4 separate regions of the Mus musculus genome follow, and regions 1, 2 and 4 are each reported to be linked to region 3. The links are microRNA targets in miRTarBase. Many come from high-throughput screens and were not tested one by one. Region 3 holds a microRNA gene; each other region holds the end of a gene's coding sequence.

Region 1 (5,834 bases), not on the chromosome of region 3:
TTTCTGAGGTACCCTGGCCACGCTGGGGCCTAGCATAATGTAATAGTTCCTATGAAACCTCAGGAGCAATGATTCCCAAAAGCACAACTTCGGAGCCAAGGGAGCAAGAAACCAGAACATTCTACCTTGAAACTTCCAGAGGTAGCCAACAAAATGACAGCAGCTCTCAGAAACGCTCTGGGGCAGTGCAGCACTTGGTAGGCTGAGGTGGAGGCCTTGAAAGTTCAAGGCCAAACTGGGCAACATGTGACACTGTCTAAAAGGGCAGTGGACGGGGGATGCTTTAGGCCTGCTTTAGCCTAGAATGGTAGCTTCTACCCGATTAAGCCCTGGAAGATTTCAGTTCTCTGGGCCAAAGGCAAGGGGAAAGGCCAGAACCAAATTTTCTGCTATTCCTTCCTGGTCTCTAGGAACGGGTTCCAGCCATGAGCTATGTCTCCATCGTGGCCATATTTGGCTTTGTGGCCTTCTTTGAGATTGGCCCTGGCCCCATTCCCTGGTTCATTGTGGCAGAGCTCTTCAGCCAGGGCCCCCGCCCAGCCGCCATGGCTGTCGCTGGTTTCTCCAACTGGACCTGTAACTTCATTGTCGGCATGGGTTTCCAGTATGTTGCGGTAGGTTCCCTACCCTTTGCCCAGTTTCCCACATCCGTGGCCAGAGGGAAGGCAAATCCTCCCGGCCCCCCCCCCCCAGTTCCCTCACTGTCTGGTCAGGGACTCCCAGCCATGTAGGTGGTCTCTGGAAGATAGGTCTGGTGGAACTACTTCACCACAATCAAGGGGGAGGCAGGCGGAAATAGATGGGTGGAAATAGGTGGAAATCCAGCAGCTTAGATTTAGAAGTCTTCTAAAAAATAAACCAGTGGTATAATTTAAACTTTCTATTAATGCTATAAGTGGTTTAGAAATCTACTCCAATTGTACACTTAGGAGAGCAAAGGGTAAAAAAGCTAAATGAGATTTTCAGTGAAAGCTTTCATTTCTGGTCATTGCCACTGCCTCTTAAGGGAGCAAACCTGCTCCTCACATAGCCCCAGTTTCCTTAGTCTTTGGTTCCTGGCTTCCCATCTCTGTCAACATTTCTTTCTCCAACTGTCCCAGGATGCTATGGGTCCTTACGTCTTCCTTCTATTTGCCGTCCTCCTGCTTGGCTTCTTCATCTTCACCTTCCTAAAAGTGCCTGAAACCAGAGGCCGGACGTTTGACCAGATCTCAGCTGCCTTCCGACGGACACCTTCCCTTTTAGAGCAGGAGGTGAAACCCAGTACAGAACTTGAATACTTAGGGCCAGATGAGAATGACTGAGGGGCAAAACAGGGTGGGAGAGCCACCCTCTCCACCCAGACTCCCTCCTTTCCTCTACAGCACTTTAGCCCTCTCTTCCCTGTTACCTCCAGGTTGAAGGAACAGCAGCCTGGGGAACTGGGAAGCTGAAGGGAGGGGTGGTCCATGTACCCCTCATTCCCCCTGTGTGATTCTTTTGGATTATTTATGTGTGTGGCTAGGCTGTGGCCACCTAGATGGGCTTTCTCCGTCCTGCCTTCCTCCTGCCCCTACCCAGACTCAGCTCTAGACTACTTTCCTCCCCTTTCGAGAAGGGGTCTGCAGGAGGGTGGGGTGGCCCTGAATTCATCAGGATAAACAGCAGGGGTGGGTGTGTGAGCGAGTGCTTTCCTCCCACAAACTGGCACTTCCACTGAACTCTTGCCACACAGGCTCTGGGTGAAGGGGGTTGTCTTGACCCCTCCAGGGCAAAGGATACACCCTCCCAAAATCTAGCCCTGCCTCCCCACAGGCTCCACCCTCCCGGGCAAAGGAACACAATAGTACATACCTGACAGGGCAAGGACGGTTAGAGCGCATCAGTCTCCATTTGGGGCCCTAGGTTGTTCCCAGGGCTGCAAAGCGTAGGTACCAACACTTTCTTGTTCCCCTCCAGGAAGGGTGCTAAACCCGAAAGCTTCTGACCAACTAAGGGCGGGAGGGGATTTGAAAGGCTGCCTATAAACACTGGTTGGGAGGGAGCCTTTGGTATTTTTGTATGTTTTGAAGAACGGATAGGGAGCAGAAACCCAAGGGCTGCTGTATTAAATGTGTATATAGAGATTCGTCCATAAAGTCACTGTTTGAAGATGAGTGTCCTGTGCTGGAGGAACTGGAGGGTGTGCAAAAAGAAAATGCCTCACTCACCCTTTGCACTTCATCCTTCCTGGGCTCAGGGCACCGAGGCCTCTAGATTCTGTCACCTTTTTTTTAGGGGGGGGCGGGTTTCGAGACAGGGTTTCTCTGTCCTGGAACTCACTTTGTAGACCAGGCTGGCCTTGAACTCAAGAAATCCGCCTGCCTCTGCCTCCCGATTGCTGGGATTAAAGGTGTGCGTGTGCCACCATGCCCAGCTGTCACTTATTTACATCCACTTTCATTGCCCTCCTCCAAAAACTAGGGTTTCACTGCATAGCCCAGGCTGCCTTGTAGCAAACCTCTTGCCTCAGCCTTCCAGAGAGCTGGTTTGCAGGCCTGAACCCAAATGCTCTACTTTTTAAAACAATTTGTTTTCTGGAAACAGAAACGTGGCTCAGGATGACCTGGAATTAGGAATCCTGTCTCAGCTCTCTGAGCGCTGGCACATCTTTCTACTTTGATTTTTATCCACTGCTTAAAGATTTACTTATTTTATGTGAGTACACTGTCACCGTCTTCAGACACACCAGAAGAGGGCATCAGATTCTGTTATAGATGGTTGTGAGCCACCATGTGGTTGCTGGGAATTAAACTCAGGACCTCTAGAAGAGCAGTCGGTGCTCTTAACCACTGATCTATCTCTCCAGCCCTTATCCACTGCCTAAATGAACAGTAAGTGGTTTGTAAACTGTATTTACAAGTGCCTGGGCACTGCTGAGACTTCACCCCCAGTAACAGATCCAGTTACTCTTGGTGAAAGGGTTCATGTCACAACTGAATAGCTAGGGGTACTGGAGCAAGGAAGTACTAGCAGGCCCTGCCCACTGTTCGGGTCTCAGCCCCACCAGAGAGTCTTCATCCTCAAACAGAAGAGCCAGAGACCAGGACAACAAGAAAGCCTGCTTTTGTTTTTACTGGAGGCTCAGGTGGCACATGACAGTTCATAAAATGGCTTCAGAGGTGTTGGGGGGAGGTCGAAGGGAAACAAAAAATAAATGGGTGGGGAAGAAAAACAATCAGGAGGAGGTATGAGCTGGCTGGTTCCTTCTCAGCCTGACTAGGGAGGGAGGTGATGCCTCGGAACAATAAGGATGGATCCCTTCCTTCAACCCATGCTAGGGGAGAGGGAAAAAAAAGAGAAAAAAGCCAAAGGCTGGTGCTTTGGCCCTCCTGAGTCTCAAGGGAAAAGCCGATGTTTTGATGTCATGAATTATGGGAAAGTGGGGAGGGGGATGCTGGGTAGAGTCAGTTGGAAACTGGCAGATACCTAAGAGAAAGAGAGGGAGACCAATCATAAAGGGTCACTTGGCAGAATCCACCACCCCTCCCCCTCTCCGGCTCTTGGTGAGATGTAGCACTCACCAGATGGTAGCTCTGGGTGTCCTCTGAGTTGGAATCACTCCAGTATGGTGGTGGGGGGGTCCCCACTGTTGATAGGCGCGGAGGTCTGAAGAGCAGTGGTGAACTGAGACTTACTTGTTTACAGCCCCCTACTTCAACCTTTTCTTAACTTTCCTCTTCTCATCCCTTCCAACCAGTTCTCACACTTCACACCCCAAAGATGGGCATGGGGATGGGACATGCAAAGGCACCCTGGGCTTGACTTGCCTGCATAGGGGTTTCCTGGTGAGTAATGCCAGCCAGGGGTGGGCCAGGGAGGATGCCAGAGGGACAGGGACAAGGAAAGTAGAGGTGCAAAAGGACAGAAAGTACCAAGACCCTCACCTCTGCGGCTATAGGCTGCCGGGGGCCAGGGGGCTGCTGCCGACGCCGCTGGAAGTAGGGACGGTTTCGTGGACGCTGGGGCTCAGGCCGGGAGCCATCAGTGGGGCCTTGGCTGGGCTTGGTCTCTCCATCCCCACCTTCTGTGGTAGGCTGTTGGGGTGGCCTGGGGCGGAAAGGCCTAGAAAGAGAAACAAGCTGACAGGATCAGAGAATTGGGCAGACTCCCTTCCCAGGATTCCTTGGTTTGTCCCCATCTGTTCCAGGCTCTAGAACTTTTGTCATTTCACACAGGCCCAACACTGGACCCTGAAGGGGAAGACAAAACAACAGTCTTACCTTCGGTACCTGGGCCGGAATCTGGGTGGGGGCACCCGTTCATCTCCCTGCTGTTGATCACCCTCCAATGGTGCTGTCTCCTTGGGTTCTACCCCATCAGAGCCCTGGGAATACACAAAGGCCTAGGTGGGCTGTGGAACGCCTGATGTCTTTGGAGCTTCCTTGCTCTTCGTTCTACTTCCTGTGAGGACCACAGTCTCTGCCCTCACAACTCCCCAACTTCTTTCCATAATGTAAGAGAACTAGCCTCCCCGGCTGCAACTCTCCTCTCACCTCTATGGGCTGTTGCTGGTTGGGGGGCCGAGGGCCTCGCACAAACCGCCTTCGATAGAAGAAGGGTGGTGGGCGCCGTCGTCTAGGTCGCTGCCCCGAGTCCTCTGCCCGCTCCCCTTCGCTGCCAGGTTCTGTCCCACCTGAGGGAGCCTCTGCCACCATAGGTGGTGGGGCAGCTGGGCGAGGCCGAGGAATGAACCTCCGGAACCTACGTCGATTAGGGGCATAGCGGCTGCCCTTCACTGGTACCCCCCCAGGCCCAGTGACATTAGCAGCTTCTGCACCCTGGGGAGGTAGAGGGGGAGCAATCAGAACCTGTTCTGACAACACACACACACACAGTACTTACAAACCTGCCAGATCACTGGTGTCCCACTTCTTCAGGCCCAAGTCCTCTACCCTATCACTCCTCAAAACCACTCCTCCTTTGTCCCCTCCCCCGAGGGGCAGCAGAAAGAGTTTGTACCCATCTGAGAAGAAACAACTTGTCCTTAGAAATAACTGCCACATTCCCCCCAGAGTGTAAAGACAGGACAGGATGAGATAGAGAGAGCCACTGTCCCTCCTTCATTCCAGAGGACTGACTGAGGGTCCTGTTAGGGCTGGGGTCCCGTGTAGAAAACAGACATGGAAGTGCTTGGTGAACTAAAGAGAAGAAACCCACATGTTACTGGCTGGTGACAGGGATGGGTTCTTTAGGACATGTCCTAGAGCAGCTCTAGCGTTCACAGGCAGAGGCAGAGCTGGTCCCAGGAGGGCCAGAGCTTCGGCTGACCTCCAGGCCACCCTCCCACAGTTCTGGCCAACTCCACCCCACAGCAGCACCCAAACCTTCTCTCCTTCCACGACATCAAACTCCACAGTCTCCCCATCTCCAACACTCCGCAGAAACTTCCTGGGGTTGTTTCTCTTAATAGCTGTCTGGTTGGGGGGAAAAGTCATGAGAAAGGTGAGGGCAGCAAAGCCAGGATCCCTTGGACCAGCTTCAGCCTCCACCCAACTCCACTCTTGGTGACATTTTATTGGAGTCTAGGGCTGGAGGGCAGAGCATGAAAATGGTCAAAGGGGGAGGGGGAGGGCCTGGAGCACAGCTCCACAAGACAGAGATATATTAGTAGGGCAAAGTCAAGAGCTAGAGGTCTGAGGGAGCCGCTATCCCCAAGATGTCCTTCCTCCCCACTGTACCCCTCAAGGACTTCAAGACATGGAGGCAGTAGGAACTCAGGAGCAAAACAGGCTGAAGAACATCTCAAGTTGCAAAGTGGGTGAAACGTGCTGTGCTTCTTACCTCGATCCCACCGAGCACTTCCACCACAGCAG
Region 2 (5,834 bases), not on the chromosome of region 3:
TTTCCTTTGTTGCATGTTCATAACCATTGTGTTCATCAGGAAACAGAGCTTCTGTCATTCCAAGTGTGTCTCTGTGGCCTGCTTAATGACTTTGACCTGAATCCAACCTTGTTTGATTATGGCACCTGCTCTCTCTCTATTTGCATTTTCCCAGTTGCACTGCCACTCGTCTTCTCACTTTAATGATCACGAATTACTTTGTTCTCAGTAAGAGCAAGCAGCCCAGCCTTGGATTTTACTTTGTGATCCAATCCATCAGTCTCGTTGCTTTAATGGATGACATAAGCCCATATACAGGTTTGGACAAGAGGTAAGTTTGAGCAGAGGCATTCGTCTGTCATGCTTTCTCCTATACATCTTTCAAAAACCCCTTCATATTGTCTACTTGCTTCATTTTTGTATAGGTTTTTCTGATAATTTAAACGCTTTGTATTGTTGTGCAATGAGGTAAAGTTAAAATGACCTTAATTTTCAGTTTCTTTGGATCTTATCCACGATGTTAATGTTATTCCCTAAGTAGTAGTAGTCATCACAGGAGCATATACTCTTGGAAGCTAAGTCTTTTCTTTTTACTTTCTATTCACTATTTAAACATTATTGCTGTCTGTATCTCCATATGTACACATGTGTATGTGCAGGTCAGAGCACAGCTTTATAGAGTCAGTTCTCCCCTACCTTCTTCCATTGAATTCCAGGGATTGAACTCAGGACACCCACCAGGTTTTACAAAAGTGCTTCTCCACCTGTGAGTTTTGACCCCTTTTGGAGGTCAAACAACCCTTTCACAGGAGTCATCTAAGACTATTGGAAAACACAGATCTTTGCATTATGATTCATAACAGTAGCAAAATTAGAAGTAGCAGCAAAAAAAAAAAAATGGTTGGGGGTCAGCACAACACGAGGAACTGTATTAAAGGGTTGCAGCATTAGGAAGGTTGAGAAGCACTGCTTTAGAGCAAGAACCTTTATCTGTGGTGCCATCTTACCAGGCTTAAAAAAATAACTATGTTCTGCCTCATGGGGGTGGTGCTCAGCTTTAATCCCAGCACTCAGGAGGCAAAGGCAGAAGTCAGAGGAGTTCGAGGTCAACCAGGTCTACTGTCTGAGCGCCAAGATAGCCAGGGCTACACAGAGAAATCCTGTCTTGAAAAACCAACCAAATAAACAAACAAAACCTGTATTAAATGCTCCTAAGCCCCTTATTTTAAATATAATTCCACTAGATTTGGCAAATGTGTAGTCATGGTATCTAGCATATGCATATACCTTAACTTTCCAGGCATGTTTCATAAAATATAAGGTGGAAAGAGATAAGACACTCAGTTTGACCTCTAACCTCTACACGTGAACACAGCTGCATAAACATGAACACACATGACAAAAACCAAAAAATAAATTTTAATTTAAATATAGTACAGTGGTATGTGATTCTTTTGTTGTACAAAAATAGTTGTAAAAGTGTTTTTTCCATTTTTAAGTATACACTACAGACTATTTTTAAATAGTACATTGCTATGATAGACTGTATAAATTACACATTCCCCAGCCAAGCCCTTCTTTTCCAGGCTGTCATCTGTGAGAGAACACAGTACGAACTTGATGCCCTGTCAAGACAATCAGAAACAATTATCCCTCCTAACAGAATTGAATGTGCTTCTCTTTAACAAGCCTTCATGTTTCTGTCTCAATCCTGTAGATTAAAAACTTTTAACAGTAATCTAAAATTCTGCTGTTGGGGACAGACCGTCTTCTCTCAAGGAAAATGTCAGAGACTACTAAGTAGTAAACTCACAATGTCTCACTGGGAAGTCCATGACTGTGAATGAGTGTCTTTCAGGAAGCTGGAACTGAACAGTGTGTCACTGAAGATGTCAACAGCTCCCAGGAGTTGATCTGCATCCCACTCTTTTGCTTCCAAGTATTTAAAGCAAAATAAGTTTCATAAGAATGATTCACAGAACTATAGCAGGTTTAGTCATATCTGATCCACCTAGTACCTTTGGCAAAGAGAACCAGGTGCTACTGAAAAAGAGGGAACACCAGAACAAGACAAGAAGCTCTGGCATAAGGAAATGGTGCAGTTTTGTTTCCTGCAGTTCTGTTAGACCAGTACTGTGTTTTGTGCTTTGGCCCAATCATATCTGATCCTAATGTAAAAGATGGCACACTGGCCATCTTCTCGGGAAGACTTGTCCCAGGACTCAGAGATACAGAGCTGAGGAACACCTTGGGACTGGCTAGAGATGAAGGCTGTGTTCAGCCTCTGGTCCTGTTGCTTCAGCTGTTTTACTCTGTACAGGTTTCCCTCTCCTTTCTGTGCAGAACTCCCATCTGCCATCTGCAGCAGGAGGCTGGGAAGGAAGAAGAATTAATGGTGTTTCTAAAAATTCCTCCACCTCCTCCTCTGTGCAGTCCCTGCTCTATGAGGATGGGTCTGTATGTTCTAGCTTGTGTACCTCAGACCTACAGAAGAAAATTACAGAGCATACAAACAAGCAGGTAATCTGATACACAAAAAGATGTATGTCTGTTTTCTGAAAGTAGGATGGAAGCCTGACAATACTTTGTTGTAGAAAAAAGAAGTTTATGTGATGACAGCTCAGAGACACGAGGCTGAGATATGATGGAGAGGCTAGCCATTAGGAGGTCTCTTCAAAGGACCTGCTTTATACTTGTATCAATAAATCCCTACGATGTGTTCATGTGTGCGCAATATAAACAGGTACGTATGCTGAGCAGTGGTGCACACATCTTTGATACGAGCACTCGGGAGGCAGAGGCAGGCGGATCTCCGAGTTCAAGGCCAGCCTAGTCTACAGAGTGAGTTCCATGACAGCCAAGGCTACACAGAGAAACCCTGTCTCAGAAAAAATATACATATATATATATTTCATGAAAACTTTCCCAGTCCTATGTTCAAAATTGCTGTTCATTCAGAAGATAGTAAGAACCCTGCCCTGGCTTTGTTTCCTAAAATACAAGGGAGACCTAACTCTGAGACTTACACACCTTCAGAGATGCCAAGTTTTTCCTTTCACTCACCTTTTTAAAACCATATACTCAGCTTGTCTCAACGTAACAAGCTACTCACAGAGAGTGGTCTCATAAGCTAACTAACTACTACTGACTGCTGTTTGGTAGAGGGCCTCATGGCCATCCTCAGAATCACACAGCTCAGAAAGACGTCTCCCAGGAGTCAGAGATGTAGTCATGGATGGGCTAATGTACAAAATGATGGAATATGATCAAATGATGGCAATTCTCTAGTATAAAGGTACTTGTTACTGCAGGTAGGAGAAAATGTCCTGCCGGGCATGGTGGCACACGCCTTTAATCCCAGCACTCAGGAGGCAGAGGCAGGTGGATTTCTGAGTTCGAGGCCAGCCTGGTCTACAAAGTGAGTTCCAGGACAGGCAGGGCTTATACAGAGAAACCCTGTCTCAGAAAAAAAAAAAAAAGAAGAAGAAAAAAGATATGTCCTGAAATGCTAACAGAGAAAGAAAAACAAAACTAGTATCTATTCCTAAAGCCAGTAAATTACAGAATAGTGTTCAGAATGATTATGGAAGAAAGGCACCAGTAGATTACATTGGGTGTCAGCAGGCCAGGGAGATTCCTGTTGCCTGATGCCTAAGTCCACACATACCACCCACTCATCCTAATGCTCTAAGAGCAAGGAAAGAAATGTCAATCAAGCAGGGTCCTGGATTGCATATTCAAGTGCAAGAAAACAGTTCCAATTTGACGTGAGAGGAAGCTGGTCCTGGCCTAGGGTTTGGCTGCTTAGATGGGCACTCTATTCTCCTTGGCCCACTTCTTCATGATCCTGATGATATACTCCACTTGGGTGTTTCCTGTGCTTCTCAGTAAATGCAGCACTTCTCGGAGGGTCTCTCTGAGGAAAGGTTTTAGAGAACACATTTTTTTTAATAAAGAAAAACTAGCGATCTCACGACATAGTACTATATTGCAATGAGGTGTCTGTGCTCATGGACCCTCCACTGGGCATTTCAAAGCTGCTACTTTTCTAAGCCATGACAATGGGTTGCTTCTTCCACATATTTGCTCAAAAAGGGTTCAAATATAATATAAATGAGAATAGCAGTAAGGACCAGAATTTGGTGAATGCCCAGCATTTGCACTTTAACTAATACATGTTTTAACTTAAAAACTCGTTTTATGTATGCATGCATGCATCCTTATGTATGTGTGTATCTATGCATATATATATATAATCTGTGTGTATATATGTGCATGTATGTATGAGTATATTTGCACTATGCAAGTGCCCGAGAAGGACAGAAGAGGGTGTCAGATGCCTTGGAGCTGAACTTACAGGTGTCTGTGAGCACCTGACATATGTGCTGGGATTCACACTGTGATCCTCATGACTGAACAGCAAATGCTCTTAACCACAAGCCTCCTCCAGCCCCAAGTTAAGATTTATTATAATTAAAGCTTGGAGTTTAGGTGAGGCAGGCTGAAGCTTCTCTGGTGTCTCATCAGAGATTTGGCAACTGTCTGTGGATTTGCTCCCCATGTGGTCTTGTCTTTTTTGTTTGTTTGTTCGTTTTTTCATTTTTTATTAGGTATTTTCTTATTTTACATTTCAAATGCTATCCCAAAAGTCCCCCAAACCCTCCCCACCCCCTCCCACTTCTTGGCCCGAGGAACCTCCTGCATCTGACTAAATGCTTGTATTCAGGATTATACATAAACACAAGGCAGGAAGTAAATTTTGATAATTTGCTTGCAAAATTTTTACAGTTTTCTATCCATATGCATTAAGCAATAAATATACTGCATGGAACTTTTTTTAAAAGATTTATTTATTATTATATCTAAGTACACTGTTGCTGTCTTCAGACGCACCAGAAGAGAGCATCAGATCTCATTACGGATGGTTGGGAGCCACCATGTGGTTGCTGGGATTTGAACTCAGGACCTTCGGAAGAGCAGTCAGTGCTCTTGATCGCTGAACTATCTTTCCAGCCCACAGAACTGTTTTTATAACACTAAATTAATGAATTAGTTTTAGCCCTGGTTGACTTTGCTGGACTTGAGCCCACTATTTTGCTTCAGACTCCCAAGTGCTAGGAATTTTCTTTTAAGTATTTTAGTTTTTATCCACATAGAAGTATAATCCTCTTAGTTTTTACATAATCAAATACCTTAGCATTTCCTGGAATACATGAAAGAAGGCAGAAGCAAAATAATTATCAACCATGTCTACTCCATTTCTATTTCTTTGAGGCCTAAATTAGACAGCAGAAGGGTTTTTTAGAGGGCAGAAGCATCAATGGCACTTGCTGTGGAAATGGCTCTTCATCCAGAGCCTGATGTGCCCCTTGCCTTGGATTTGGAGGCTCTCATAGGCTTAGAGTCCCCAGTATGTATGACTTAGAGTCATTTGATTTCATAAAATAAGACATTTCTGGAAGAAAATGATCATGCAATGTTAACATCTCAATATTTCTACCTTTAAGCTCCTCACCAGGGGCAGGTGGATAGAGGCAGCTCTGTCCATTTGTTCACTTACTTGGGTTCTCTCCCAGCTAAGATCATCTGGAAGATGCCCACACAGGCACCCCTCTTGCCTTCCCAGTACTCAGGGTTGGGATCCAGTCTTTCTAAGACATCAAAAGCTTTGGCTGAATAGTAGAACTGGCCCATCTGCACAAAAGAAAGCATGGTGGTAGTATTGACATTTAATCAAGAGGTGGGACAGAAAAAAACATATAGAATAGTGAACAGAACGGGATGAAACAAATGCACAAAAAATTTTGAGGTAGCAGCTTAGGTACATTTCAATTCCTAACTAAAACAAAAGAACC
Region 3 (5,834 bases):
GGGAGTAGGTGAGTGGGGGAACACCCTCACAGAAGCAGGGGGCGTGGGAGGGGGTAGGGAGTTTCGGGGGGTGGGAACAGGGGAAAGGGATAACATTTGAAATGCAAATAAAGTAAATATCCAATAAAAATATTTTAAAAAGAGAAGGGTTTAAGCCTTCAGATTTGAACTCCAGTTCCTTAGTCTACTGGCATCTCCCATTATGTTGTAGACTTGTGTTACTTCCATGATTGAGAAAGTCTTCAAGATAAATCTCTCTCAATATATAAATACTGCTAGTTTCTCTGAATAAAGTTGGCCTAGTAAACTCCTTTCAAAATATATATTTTCACATAGATTTTAGAAAATTTACGAGTGTTTAGGGCAAGTCCAATTTAGAGTTTATGTTCTATCCAAACTACACTTAAAATTAACTGCTTTTCTGTAACTCTGCTTATATGTACTTAAAGTAGGAATAAAAGCATCCAGTAGTATATTAATATAAATACAACTTGATGTTAGACTTATGAAAAGAGTTTTGGATATATGGCTATTTGATAAATTTGGTGACCCTGTTGTTAGGTCTAGTAACTAAAAATCTCTTAGAAAATTCTGTCGCTTACTTCAATATTTACATAGCAACAATACTAAATATTGGCATTAAAACCAAGCTTTAGCTCAGAGGAAATATGATAAGCATCTCTTTAAAAAACAGTAACAAATCACAAAGCTATAGAACAGCTTTATGCCCAAAACCTGTTATTCTGGCTCTATTTCATTTATTCCCTTCTCTAAGAGGAGTGGAATTTTCAATCATAACATGGTTTTACTGCTATGAAGAACATACTTAGAAATATAGAGTATTAAGAAAAAGAAATATGCAGTTGTAATTGAAAATAATGACAATTATAACTGATGCTGAAGTAAAGCCTAAGAAATTAGGATAACACATTCAAACCCTATTTTAAAATTGGAGATAATTTTGTGGGGATTCTCTCCAGCTGCATCATATGTGATTTATTTAAATTACAGAGGCTCAAATAAAGTATCATTATTTATGTAACATATATTTTTATTTTTAAGATTTATTTTTTAATGTATAATGGAAAAACTTTTTGATTTGTTAGGACATTGTAATGATACCTAAACTTGTAAACAAGATGTATTAGCTCTAATATAGCAAGACAAAAATAACTTCAGAAGAGAAATAATAGATTGATTCAATGATGATTCATAAGTAATTTCAGAATCCTGTTCATTATCATTTAGGAATGTAATGGTGTCACAAGAAATCGGAGATAAATACAATCTATCACTACGAAAATCTTGTTGCCATATGACTGAGCTTAGATTACACCTAAGTTCTAGCCTTCAAATAGAAGAGCTCATATACCAAAACTAAACAAAATTTTTGGAGCTTATACCAGCGATTGAAAAACTAATGGTGAAAGGTTGGGTTTCTGTTTCTAGAATCAGCACATTTAACAACACTAATGAGGGTAATAACCATGAACTTCCTGTTGTTTCCCAGCAACTGGTAGGTAACATGATAGCAACTATACTCTTTAGCCTTGTGAAACTTACTCATTTTAAAGATTATTCTAACACTATGAGTATGTATATGAGTGCATCTGTGTGTGGGAACATGCACATTAGTGTAAGGTCCAACATAGGCCAATAGAGAGTGATAGAGAGTGTCAGATCTCTTCAGCTGAACTTATTGGTTTCTGTGATGCATATGATGCAGGTGTGCAGCAAATTGTACCCTGGTTCTCTTGATGCACAATCCAAGTTCTCAAACATTGACGATGGCTTTAGACTCTTACTAAATTTCTTTGCCATTAAAAGATGACAGAAGCTAAATTTGTAGAGAATTAATGATAAATAATGGCAAATTAAGTATACAATTTTGTATATTTTGGCTAATTCTGTGTCTGTATCATTTGAATAGTATTAAAATTTAGTTACTTTTAAAATTATTTTAAAATAATGATGTTTATAAATTCCCTGATTAATTTCTATTTGAATTGCATAATCAGTAAAGTCACTGGATAAGCTCTCTGTAAAAATGTTTCCTCTTTATTAATATATATATATATATATATATATATATATTTGTCCAAGTAATAGTAACAGAATTAAATTTCAAAATGTTTCACTTATAATTAATGGGTGCAGATGTCAATTCAGTGCTTTTGTTTTGGATCTACTGCATTTTTAAAAATAGGGCATACTGCCAATTGTTGGGGCAGGTGTTGCTAAAAAAAACAAGAACAGACTGTGCATAAATGTAAAATACACACACACACACAAACACACACACACATATATATGTGTGTGTGTATATATATATATATATACATATATATATATATATATATATATATATATATATATATATATGAGATATGAGATGGCCTGGCAATATGTAATAGGCAGTCCTCAAATGCTGCCATCCTCCTGCCTCAGCTTCTCAGGTGTTATATTACAAGCAAGTTACAATATATGTAGCTTAATTTTCCAGTGCTTGACATATCTTTGCTTCTTGTTCTCTAATTAACAAAGTAACTGTTTATGAAAGGTTTAAATCTTATAGCTTAAGGATTTGTTCTCAATGGCCCAATGAAGGATCCTAGGTTTCAAAATACAGATCAACTGTAGGAGCACCTGTGAAGCACTATGAATTACTTTGTAAACCACTACCACACTAGATTTGATATAGTGATTCACAGAGAAATCCATAGCACGTGACAGTTTATGTAATGCTTGTACACATGAACATAAAAATTATATGCTACCATGCCCAGAGTTTGAAAAATTATTCAAGACATCTTTTTATCGTTCATATGGCATTAAAATATAATTTAATTTAATTTTAACAACATTTGAGCAAGAGAATAAACATTCATGAATCAACAGGTTTTATATATATAGTATTATAATATATACATTTTTAATTGGTAAAATAATAAGAAACACTGAAAAAATCTGAAAAATACATAAAACCAAATTATACTTTCCGTATTATGTATCAAGGTAGATCAATTAGAGGAATGAGCAAGAACAACCAAGAGATGAAAGAGAAGTAAAATGCCCACTATGCTCATAGAATTGAGATATGGATATTAATATAACCTGTGGGAGGAGAGAAGTAAAATAAGGAATGACATTTCATACGTGCATCTCACATTACAACATACACATGATGTGGTTGTTTTGCTCTAAAAATAGTCTCAGTTAGCCTACATGTATTTTGCATAAGTTCTTAGATTTTATCTGATTTTTTTTCTATCTTAAGTTTGAGTTCTGCATGTGATTGGCTGAAACTCTCTGAGGCTACTTAAATATATGTTAGTTTCCTCACTAGGTTCAGCTTTGAGAAACAAAACAAAACAAAACACCAAAGTAACTGAAAAAAATCTCTAATGGGCACTGCTTTAATAAATTCACAGGAATGAAACATCTTTCGTTTTTCTCCTTTGTTATGTTTGCTTCAATGGTAACATTTATCTAAAGATTTAAAAGAAAACTAGAATTTTAATTTATGATCATTAAAAAGAAAATAATTTTTAAATTTTAATGGACTAGGATTATATCTCTCAGGCCATCTATGGATTTGAGAATTTTGACTTTTTGTATGTATACCATGAATGTCAATAATAATTAACATACAATATTTTTCAGAAATTTGCAAATCTAACATCTTAGTGTGTTCAAAACTGTCACTACATATCACTGTGCATTCCCAAGTAAAACAGGGAAGTAAGGCCAGACTGGCTGGCTAAGCAAGGAAAAACTTTAAGTGGAAAATAAATTGTAAAATTATTTACACATTCATATATACTTACCGTATGGCTGGTATATGACGTACATAATGCTTGCCAGGTATAAGGAAGTAAATGCAAACCCAATACATACCCTAGCTTCAAGAAACAGATAAAACAAAATAAATAAAACCAACAAGAACAATTGTGTTCCTTAAAAAGGGTCCACATAGATTGCTTTAGAGTCCACATTATCCAGTCATAGCAGGAGGTTTCTGTGAGAAATTACTTAGTTGAAAAATTGAAGGTACAATACAATTTAGCAATGAGGATAGGATTAGAACATTTGAAGCAGACGGGGCACATTAAAAACAGTAGAAAGAAGAAATTAAAATGTCATCTGTTCTCTGCTACACTACTGCTGAAAGTAGAAAATTACACAAAATTTAGATATAAGTGAAAACTAGCAAGCATGTCCAGATTGTAGACAACAAATGAGAGAAATTAGAAAATAAAGATACTAAGCAACATTAAGCCTGAGAAATGTGCATGACAGATGTGCATGGCAGATGTGCATGACAGATGTGCATGGGAGATGTGTATGGCAGATGTGCATGGAGATGTGCATGACAGATGTGCATGGCAGATGTGCATAACAGATGTGCATGGCAGATGTGCATAACAGATGTGCATGGCAGATGTGTATGCCAGATGTGCATGGCAGATGTGCATGGCAGATGTGCATGGCAGATGTGCATGGCAGATGTGCATGACAGATGTGTATGGCAGATGTGCATGGAGATGTGCATGACAGATGTGCATGGCAGATGTGCATAACAGATGTGCATGGCAGATGTGTATGCCAGATGTGCATGGCAGATGTGCATGGCAGATGTGCATGGCAGATGTGCATGGCAGATGTGCATGACAGTTGTACATGATAGAGAAACAGCTGTGTGGAAAGGCCCTAGGATTCAAGGAACATTGTGACACTCAGAACCAAACTGGCCCAGAAGAAATCTCCTGAGAAATCAGGCAAATTTCCTTTTGAGCTTCACGTTGAGTGGATGAAATACACTCAGAAGTCAAGGAAGATTTGAAAACAGATAATTGTGAGGCCACAGACTTTCCAAACATCCAGGAATGAGCTCAAGCTACAGTGAGTAAAGGAGGATTTCTGAGGGTTAGATAAATTCTAGCATTCCCAGAAACTAGTTCACAGCTATTAAAGGAAACATTTCCCTTACCTATGGCAGATGAGACATATGGGTACAGGGAAATATATCCATGGTGCCTATTAGCTTATCAAAGCCCATGCTGGCCTCTGTGTTCCTTCTGTACCACAAGTACATTTCAACATGCATGCTATAGATCTCACAATGTCCAATCTGGTTTTCTTTCTCTCTGTTACAGACTCTTCAAGATAGATCCAGATGTTTTCTCTCTCATATCTATAATTGAAACCCTCCCTAATAATAGAGTTGCCAACTCAGCATTTTCTTTCATCACCTGAGGAATCAGGCTAATTTTCTGTTTGAGCTTCACTATACCAGCAGGGTAGATGAGATAAATTTCAGAAGCCAGACAACAGTTTGAAAGAGGACAACCACACATAAAAAGACAACATTAAGTAGGTTAGTGAATAACCATTCCAAATGTGAAATCCAGTCAGTTAAATAGTCATCAGAGTGAATTCAAGGCAGATTTTTATAGTATTTCATTGCTTTAGTTGCTTCTTTATTTACACAAGACATGTACATGACAATCCAAATTCAGTTTTTGGTGCTAGTTGGGCATTCCTCTCTTCCTTCCTCATAGCTTTCAACATAAGAAATTCTCCCAGAGAGCCCCTCTTTAGGGGAATTTATTTGCCTAAAAGACTCTTTTCCCCGATTCTGTTAAATATGCTATCAATTTTATATGAAAGTATATGGACAGAGAGTGAGATATTATGGAGGAACTAATTTTCTGGTGAGCTAATTAATTAAACAGCACCACTTATTTTCAACCCATTACAGTGCCTGAAGTCAGAAATAGGTGAGGTATATTATCCATTAGTGAAAGACCACAGTGCAATGATTCACTGTCTTT
Region 4 (5,834 bases), not on the chromosome of region 3:
GGGACAGGAGCACTGTGAGCTGCGGACTACGAGTTCTGAGCTCTTACCCAAACCCCACTCCCCCAGAGTGGAGCCACACCCTAGTCCCCTCACTAGGGGATTCTGGGTGGGACTCTACCCTATCCCTGACCACGCCCACAGCCTGCTTGTTTACCTTTAGGTTAGGGTAAGTGTCTCATGTAGCCCAGGTTGTCCTCAAGCACAGAGGAGGAGAACCTTAAACTCTCCTTATCTTCCTGCCTTCACCTTCCAAGTGCTGTGTGTGCCTGGCTTATTCGTAAATCTTGTTTTTCGTGGGCTTTGTTTTGTTTTGTTTTTCGAGACAGGGTTTCTCTCTGTGCAGCCCTGGCTGTCCTGAAACTCACTCTGTAGACCAGGCTGGCCTGGATCCACCTGCCTCTGCCTCCCAAGTGCTGGGATTAAAGGCGTGTGCCACCACTGCCCAGCTCATTGTAATTCTTGTAGGACAAGGGAGAACAGAGGCTCAGGACAACCTGCAGGAGCCTGTTCTTCCACTAAGTGGGTTCTTGGAACTCGGCTCTCCTCTACCCACTGAGTGACCTGGGAGCCATCTGGTCAACACTTTTACTTTTATTCATTTTATCTGGCATAGGGTCTCACTCTGTAGACCAGGCTAGCCTTGGAACTCAGTGATCCACCTGCCTCTGCCTCCAGAGTGCTGGGATGACAGGCTTGTGCTGCCAAGCCCTGCTCAGATTTTATCTTAAGGTCGGATCAGGTGACGTTTTCAGGGATGATGCTGAACTTGCTCTGAAGCCTAGGATGGCTCTAACTCGCAATCATCCTCTCTTAATCCCGAGTAGCTGGGATGACAATTGTGAGTCACCACAGCCAGCTTTGGGTCTTCTCCATCACCCTCATTGTTGAGGCAGGGTCTCTATGTACCCTAGCCTGGCCTGGAACTCATGGCAATCCTCCTGCCTCAACTTCCTCAGTACTGGATTTATAGGTATTGGAACATTACCTTTTAGAGGCAGGGACTAGGATGATGTCACTGTTGCCTTCTTGCCAAAGGTGTTAAGAGTACCTCAGGTTGGGTTAGTCCCACGGCTTTGAGGGAATCTTAGGGACTGTCGAGCCTAGGCTTACCCCTTTGCTTTCTGGCCAGGAACCTCAAAGGCCCTACCAATTCGGCCAGGAACCTTGTGGTCAAAGATGACAACATCTGGACAGGGGGTCTGGACGCCTGCCTGCGATGCTGGGACCTGCGGATGGCCAAGGTGTCACTGGAGCATCTGTTCCAGTCCCAGGTGCACAGGAAGGGTGGCTGCACAGGCGTGGGCCTTTGGGTACAATGACAAGGTGCACTCAGTGTCAGGAGAGGGAACAGCCCAGGTCAGCTCAAGGAATTTTTGAGAAGTCACAGGGGTCTTTAAAATACCTTTTGTCATACTGGACAATGGTGGAGAAGGCTGTCGTCCCAGTACTCAAGCTGAGGCAAGAGGATGAAAAAGTGAGTCCATCTTGGGCTACATAGTGGAGAAGGAGCTGGATCTAGGGGGTAGAATGTTTTCCTGTCACTCAGCACTAGGGAGCTGGGGGAAGGAGGGTCAGAAGTTTAAGGTGGTCATCAGCTACACAGGAACCTGAAGGATAGCCTGGGCTACATAAAAGCCGGTCTCAAAGACTATCGTTGCAAATATTTTATGCTGGAGTTCAAGGCCAGCCTGGGCTATGTGGCAAGTCACTACAGCCTAGGCTATGGAGCAAGACCATGTCCCAATAAAACCAACCAGGGAGACAGACTTGTCACTGCCATAGTTAACCCTGTGAAGTTCATACACCTCACAGAAGGAAGGTGTGGAGACACAGTCGGGCCACAGCCAGTCAGTGAGTCATTGGGTGGGCGGGCGTTCGGGCGGGGACCTTGCAGCCTGGCCGCCCAGCAGGGGTCTGATTGCTACCTCTGCCTGGCTCACCCAGATCATGAGCCTGGCTCACAGTCCGACCGAAGACTGGCTGCTGCTGGGCCTGGCCAATGGCCAGCACTGCCTGTTCAACAGCAGGAAGAGGGACCAGGTGCTCACTGTGGACACCAAGGACAACACCATCTTAGGCCTCAAGTTCTCCCCAAATGGTAAGGAGTCCACTGAGCCTGGGCATGGTGGCACACGCCTTTAATTCCAGCACTGGGGAGGCAGAGGCAGGTGGATCTGAGTTCAGGACCAGCCCTGGTGTACAGAGTTCCAGGACAGCCAGGACTCCACAAAGAAACCCTGTCTGGGAAACCAGTCCACTGAGGATGGGTGCACACTGTGGCCACTGGCCTCTCAGAGGACCCTGCTATTTACTCAGTGCCCAGTCAGGGCTTGGGTATTGTCCACACTCCAACATCTTTTATTAACATAATCATAATCAGGAGTTCAGAGTCATCTCTGGCTACTTGGGGAGCTTAAGGCTATCCTGAGCTATAAAAGGCTTCAGACGGCAAAACATAACAAAAGACAAAACAGTAAAACTTTTTGCTGTTCTGCCTTGTTCTTTGAGGCAAGGTCTCATGTAGCCTAGACTCATTCTCATCTCAAACTCTCTCAGTCCTCCTGCCTCAGCCTCCTGGGTGCTGCTGGATGTTAGTGAATGGGTGGGGTCTGCTGTAACCTCCCTGTCTTCCTTCCCCTCCTCCTAGGCAAGTGGTGGGCGAGCGTCGGTATGGGCAACTTCATCACGGTCCACAGCATGCCCACCGGAGCAAAACTGTTCCAGGTACTTATGTGCAGGGGGCACTGGGGGCTCTGTCAGCGGGACCCTCAGCATCATCCCCACAGGGGTCATTTCTGAAGCTCTGGGTGGAGAGGAACTGAGCTCACTCAGCTGCTGTCTCAGGTCCCCGAGGTTGGCCCTGTCAGATGCTTCGACATGACTGAGAACGGCAGGCTCATCATCACAGGATCCAGGGACTGTGCCTCGGTGTACCACATCAAGTACTGACAACTTCAACTCCCCTCCCCTAACTGCACAGTGGTGGATGGCAATGGGTGTGATGGGTCTGCAGTGCTTCTAGAGGCTTCCATGGGGTGTGCAGATCCCGAGTTGCGTGTAATAAAACAATTGAAATGGCAGAGATTTGTCCTTTACCCAGGTTTTGGAAGAACTTTGTAGCTCTGAGCCCTCCAACTTCTGAGTGTTTGCCTTTAATCCCAGCACTCAGGAGACAGAGGCAGGCGGATTTCTGAGTTCCAGACCAGCCTGGTTTACATAGTTTCAGGACAGCCAGTGCTACACTAAGAAACTAGCCCCACCCAGTTTTTGTTTTAAAGAGAGCCAGGAAGATGGTTCAGTTGGTAAAGCCCACACCAGGCAGGATAAGGAGTGAGTGTAAATCCCTGATCCAGCTCTGTAGGTAGAGACAGGAGGATTCCTGGGGCATGTTGACCTGTCTGTGAGGCTCATTAGTGAGATCCACACTCTGAAAATTGGGGCAAAGAGAAATGAAGGCTGATACCCAGTCGGGTCCCTCACCTGTACGCTTCACACACACACAGAAAGAAAGCAAGTTGATAAATGTGTTATATTTCCCCAGTGCCCCAGCCCCACCCAGCCAGGAGGGAGCAAGCCAGGTATGAGCAGAGGGGCCCGTGTCCCGAGTGGCCAGCCATCCAGGGCAGGTGACCTGAAAAGGCAGCAGATGGCTCAGTACACCACCTCATACACAGTGGCCTTCTTGTCCCCTGAGCCTGTCACGATGTACTTATTATTCCTGGAGATGTCGCAGCTCAGTACAGAAGATGATTCTTTGGACTGGGACAGAGAAAGGGGAGGTGAGGGGTGGCCACATGGTCACCACCACCAAGTTTACAGACCAGAAGCATGGGGCTTGGAGGACAACAAAGGCTGGTAGATGTGACTGTTGCCAGGGCCTTGTAGCTGGGGACTGAGCTAGCCTGACTGGTGACTTAAGAGATGGTACCTAACTCATCACAGCTCGACTTCAGATGGCTTCACAGCAAAGTACCTCCCTCCTCTTCCCTCATTCTCTCTCAAACCAACCATACTTCTGCCCCATCCTTCCAAGTGCTAAGATTACAGATCTGTGTCACCGTGTCCTGGAGGGACAGGGGTATCCCTGACATGTGAAGGGTTGATAATGGTACTGCTCTGGATTGGAGACTCCTGGGGTCTTTGATGGTTAGGAAGGACAGGAAATGTGAAAGACCACTATAGCACATCCATTGAAGGTTCAAGAGACTTATTAGAAATTGCCACCTAGGGCTAGTGAGATGGCTCAGCGGTTAAAATCACTGACTGCTTTTCCAGAGGTCCTGAGTTCAAATTCCAGCAACCACATGGTGGCTTACAATCTGTAATGAGATCTGATTCCCTCTTCTGGTGTGTCTGAAGACAGCTACAGTGTACTTATAATAAATCCACTGTGGTACACAGAGGGACCCAAAGTGTGGGACTCTGTAACAGGAAGTGTCTAGGACAGGAAATGTCGAGCTGGCCTCCATTTGGGGGAGACCAGGTACCTGAAAAATGCTGGCCCCATAGGGTGTCCTCCAGGCATTGAGCAGGTTGTCCTTGCCTGTGCTCACAAACCAGCGTCCTGAGATGGGAAGGGGAGGGGGCAGAGGGGAGGATGGGAGTGACCACCAGGGTAGGAAACCTTAGAAATTCACTCCTTCCTGAAGCCGCCTACTATGCAGTATCAAAAAGCTGAGAGCTGCCAGGCAACATGGAGTGTCCTTGATAGCTGTCTTTTTTTTTTTTTGAGACAGTTTTTCTGTGTGGACCTGGCTGTCCTGAACTGGCTCTACAGGCCAGGCTAGCCTTGAACTCAGATCTACCTGTCTCTGCCTCCCGAGTACTGGAATTAAAGGCATGCAAGTCACCTCGCCTGGTCCATCTTTTTTTTTTTAAATGTGTCTGTGCATTTATCTAAACTGGCTTTGACCTGAATAAGCAGCTGGGTGGGCAGGCCTGGGTAATTCGTTATCTAATTTAAGGCTTCACCCCCATCCATCCACCCTCCCTCTGCTGTGCCAAGGGGTCTCCCAGGCTTGTACCACAGGAAGCGAACTTGAGTGACAGCACGCAGCTCTCATGGAGGCGGAGCTGGTACTTCTCAGGCTTGCGCACATGCAGGACCTCCACGTGGCTGCTCTCCATCCCCACAGCCAACCAGTCCTGATTGGGACAGTGGCCCAATGAGAAAATCTAGGTCAAGAGAGAGAGTGCTGAGACCCTGGGGTCACACATGATGCTGGAAGAAGGCCCAGGGGTGCCCCAAATGGGGACAAGAAGGTGGCCAGTGACAGGTGTCACACCTTAGCATTCATCAGAGGAACACAGCACCTTGAGATTCTGGGCAGAGGGAGCTGGCTCTACAGGTGGCTCAAGGTCCAGGGCTGAGCCTTGACTGTGTCCTGCTTCTGACTGATGGGGAGTCAGGATCAGGGGTAGAAGCTGCAGTCACTCTTAGTCTAGCAGTGGTTTTTTATTTGTATTTGTATTTGGGGGTGGGTTGAGACTGTCTCACTATGCAGCTCTGACCACCCTGGGACTCACAGAGATCCACCTGCTCTGCCTCCCATTGCTGGAATTAAAGACATGTCCTGGGCTGAAGAAAGGTCCTGAATTCAATTCCCAGCAACCACATGGTGGCTCACAACCATCTATAATGGGATCCGATGCCCTCTTCTGGTGTGTCTGAAGACAGCTACAGTGTACTCATATAAGTAAAATAAGTAAATCTTATTTTTAAAGGCGTATGTAAGGCAGTCCGTCTCCCACTGACTATTCTGACCCTCCAGCTCTCGGCATGCCCAGGGTTATAGGCAGGTTTTTTATGTCTGTCTGGCTTTTTATGTGGATTC

The links. The annotated mature microRNA mmu-miR-876-5p reads UGGAUUUCUCUGUGAAUCACUA and lies in region 3 at 2,699-2,720, opposite strand. An mRNA with a match to its seed (bases 2 to 7 or 8) in the 3' UTR can be bound and repressed. Matches are read on the target gene's strand: a 7mer-m8 pairs with bases 2 to 8, a 7mer-A1 pairs with bases 2 to 7 and ends in A, and an 8mer does both.
Region 1: the mRNA of Slc2a4 is a reported target of mmu-miR-876-5p. Seed matches in the 3' UTR shown: 7mer-m8 at 2,331-2,337.
Region 2: the mRNA of Ttc26 is a reported target of mmu-miR-876-5p. Seed matches in the 3' UTR shown: 8mer at 3,362-3,369.
Region 4: the mRNA of Tle2 is a reported target of mmu-miR-876-5p. Seed matches in the 3' UTR shown: 7mer-m8 at 3,185-3,191.

What each region holds. Positions count from the first base shown.
Region 1 is chr11:69,938,839-69,944,672 of GRCm38, reverse strand. Slc2a4 (solute carrier family 2 (facilitated glucose transporter), member 4) reads left to right here. Exons shown (of 11, transcript NM_009204.2): 10 at 411-614; 11 at 1,101-2,387. The coding sequence ends at 1,304. Ybx2 (Y box protein 2) reads right to left here. Exons shown (of 9, transcript NM_016875.3): 4 at 5,346-5,435; 5 at 4,515-4,799; 6 at 4,242-4,345; 7 at 3,906-4,083; 8 at 3,543-3,627; 9 at 3,070-3,447. The coding sequence ends at 3,577. Among named protein-coding and RNA genes, the nearest start is that of Ybx2, 5.9 kb to the right of the region's middle.
Region 2 is chr6:38,423,189-38,429,022 of GRCm38, reverse strand. Ttc26 (tetratricopeptide repeat domain 26) reads right to left here. Exons shown (of 18, transcript NM_153600.2): 17 at 5,540-5,673; 18 at 1,376-3,895. The coding sequence ends at 3,784. Among named protein-coding and RNA genes, the nearest start is that of Ubn2, 7.8 kb to the left of the region's middle.
Region 3 is chr4:36,642,724-36,648,557 of GRCm38, forward strand. It overlaps Mir876 (microRNA 876), which reads right to left and starts at 2,730; the gene lies at 2,650-2,730. The region is part of intron 2 of Lingo2 (leucine rich repeat and Ig domain containing 2); the gene reads right to left.
Region 4 is chr10:81,588,150-81,593,983 of GRCm38, reverse strand. It overlaps Tle2 (transducin-like enhancer of split 2), which reads right to left. Exons shown (of 21, transcript NM_019725.2): 18 at 5,025-5,175; 19 at 4,488-4,564; 20 at 3,632-3,759; 21 at 3,139-3,427. The coding sequence ends at 3,652. Tle6 (transducin-like enhancer of split 6) reads left to right here. Exons shown (of 14, transcript NM_053254.2): 11 at 1,130-1,271; 12 at 1,945-2,098; 13 at 2,648-2,724; 14 at 2,845-3,079. The coding sequence ends at 2,949. Among named protein-coding and RNA genes, the nearest start is that of Gm32024, 3.5 kb to the left of the region's middle.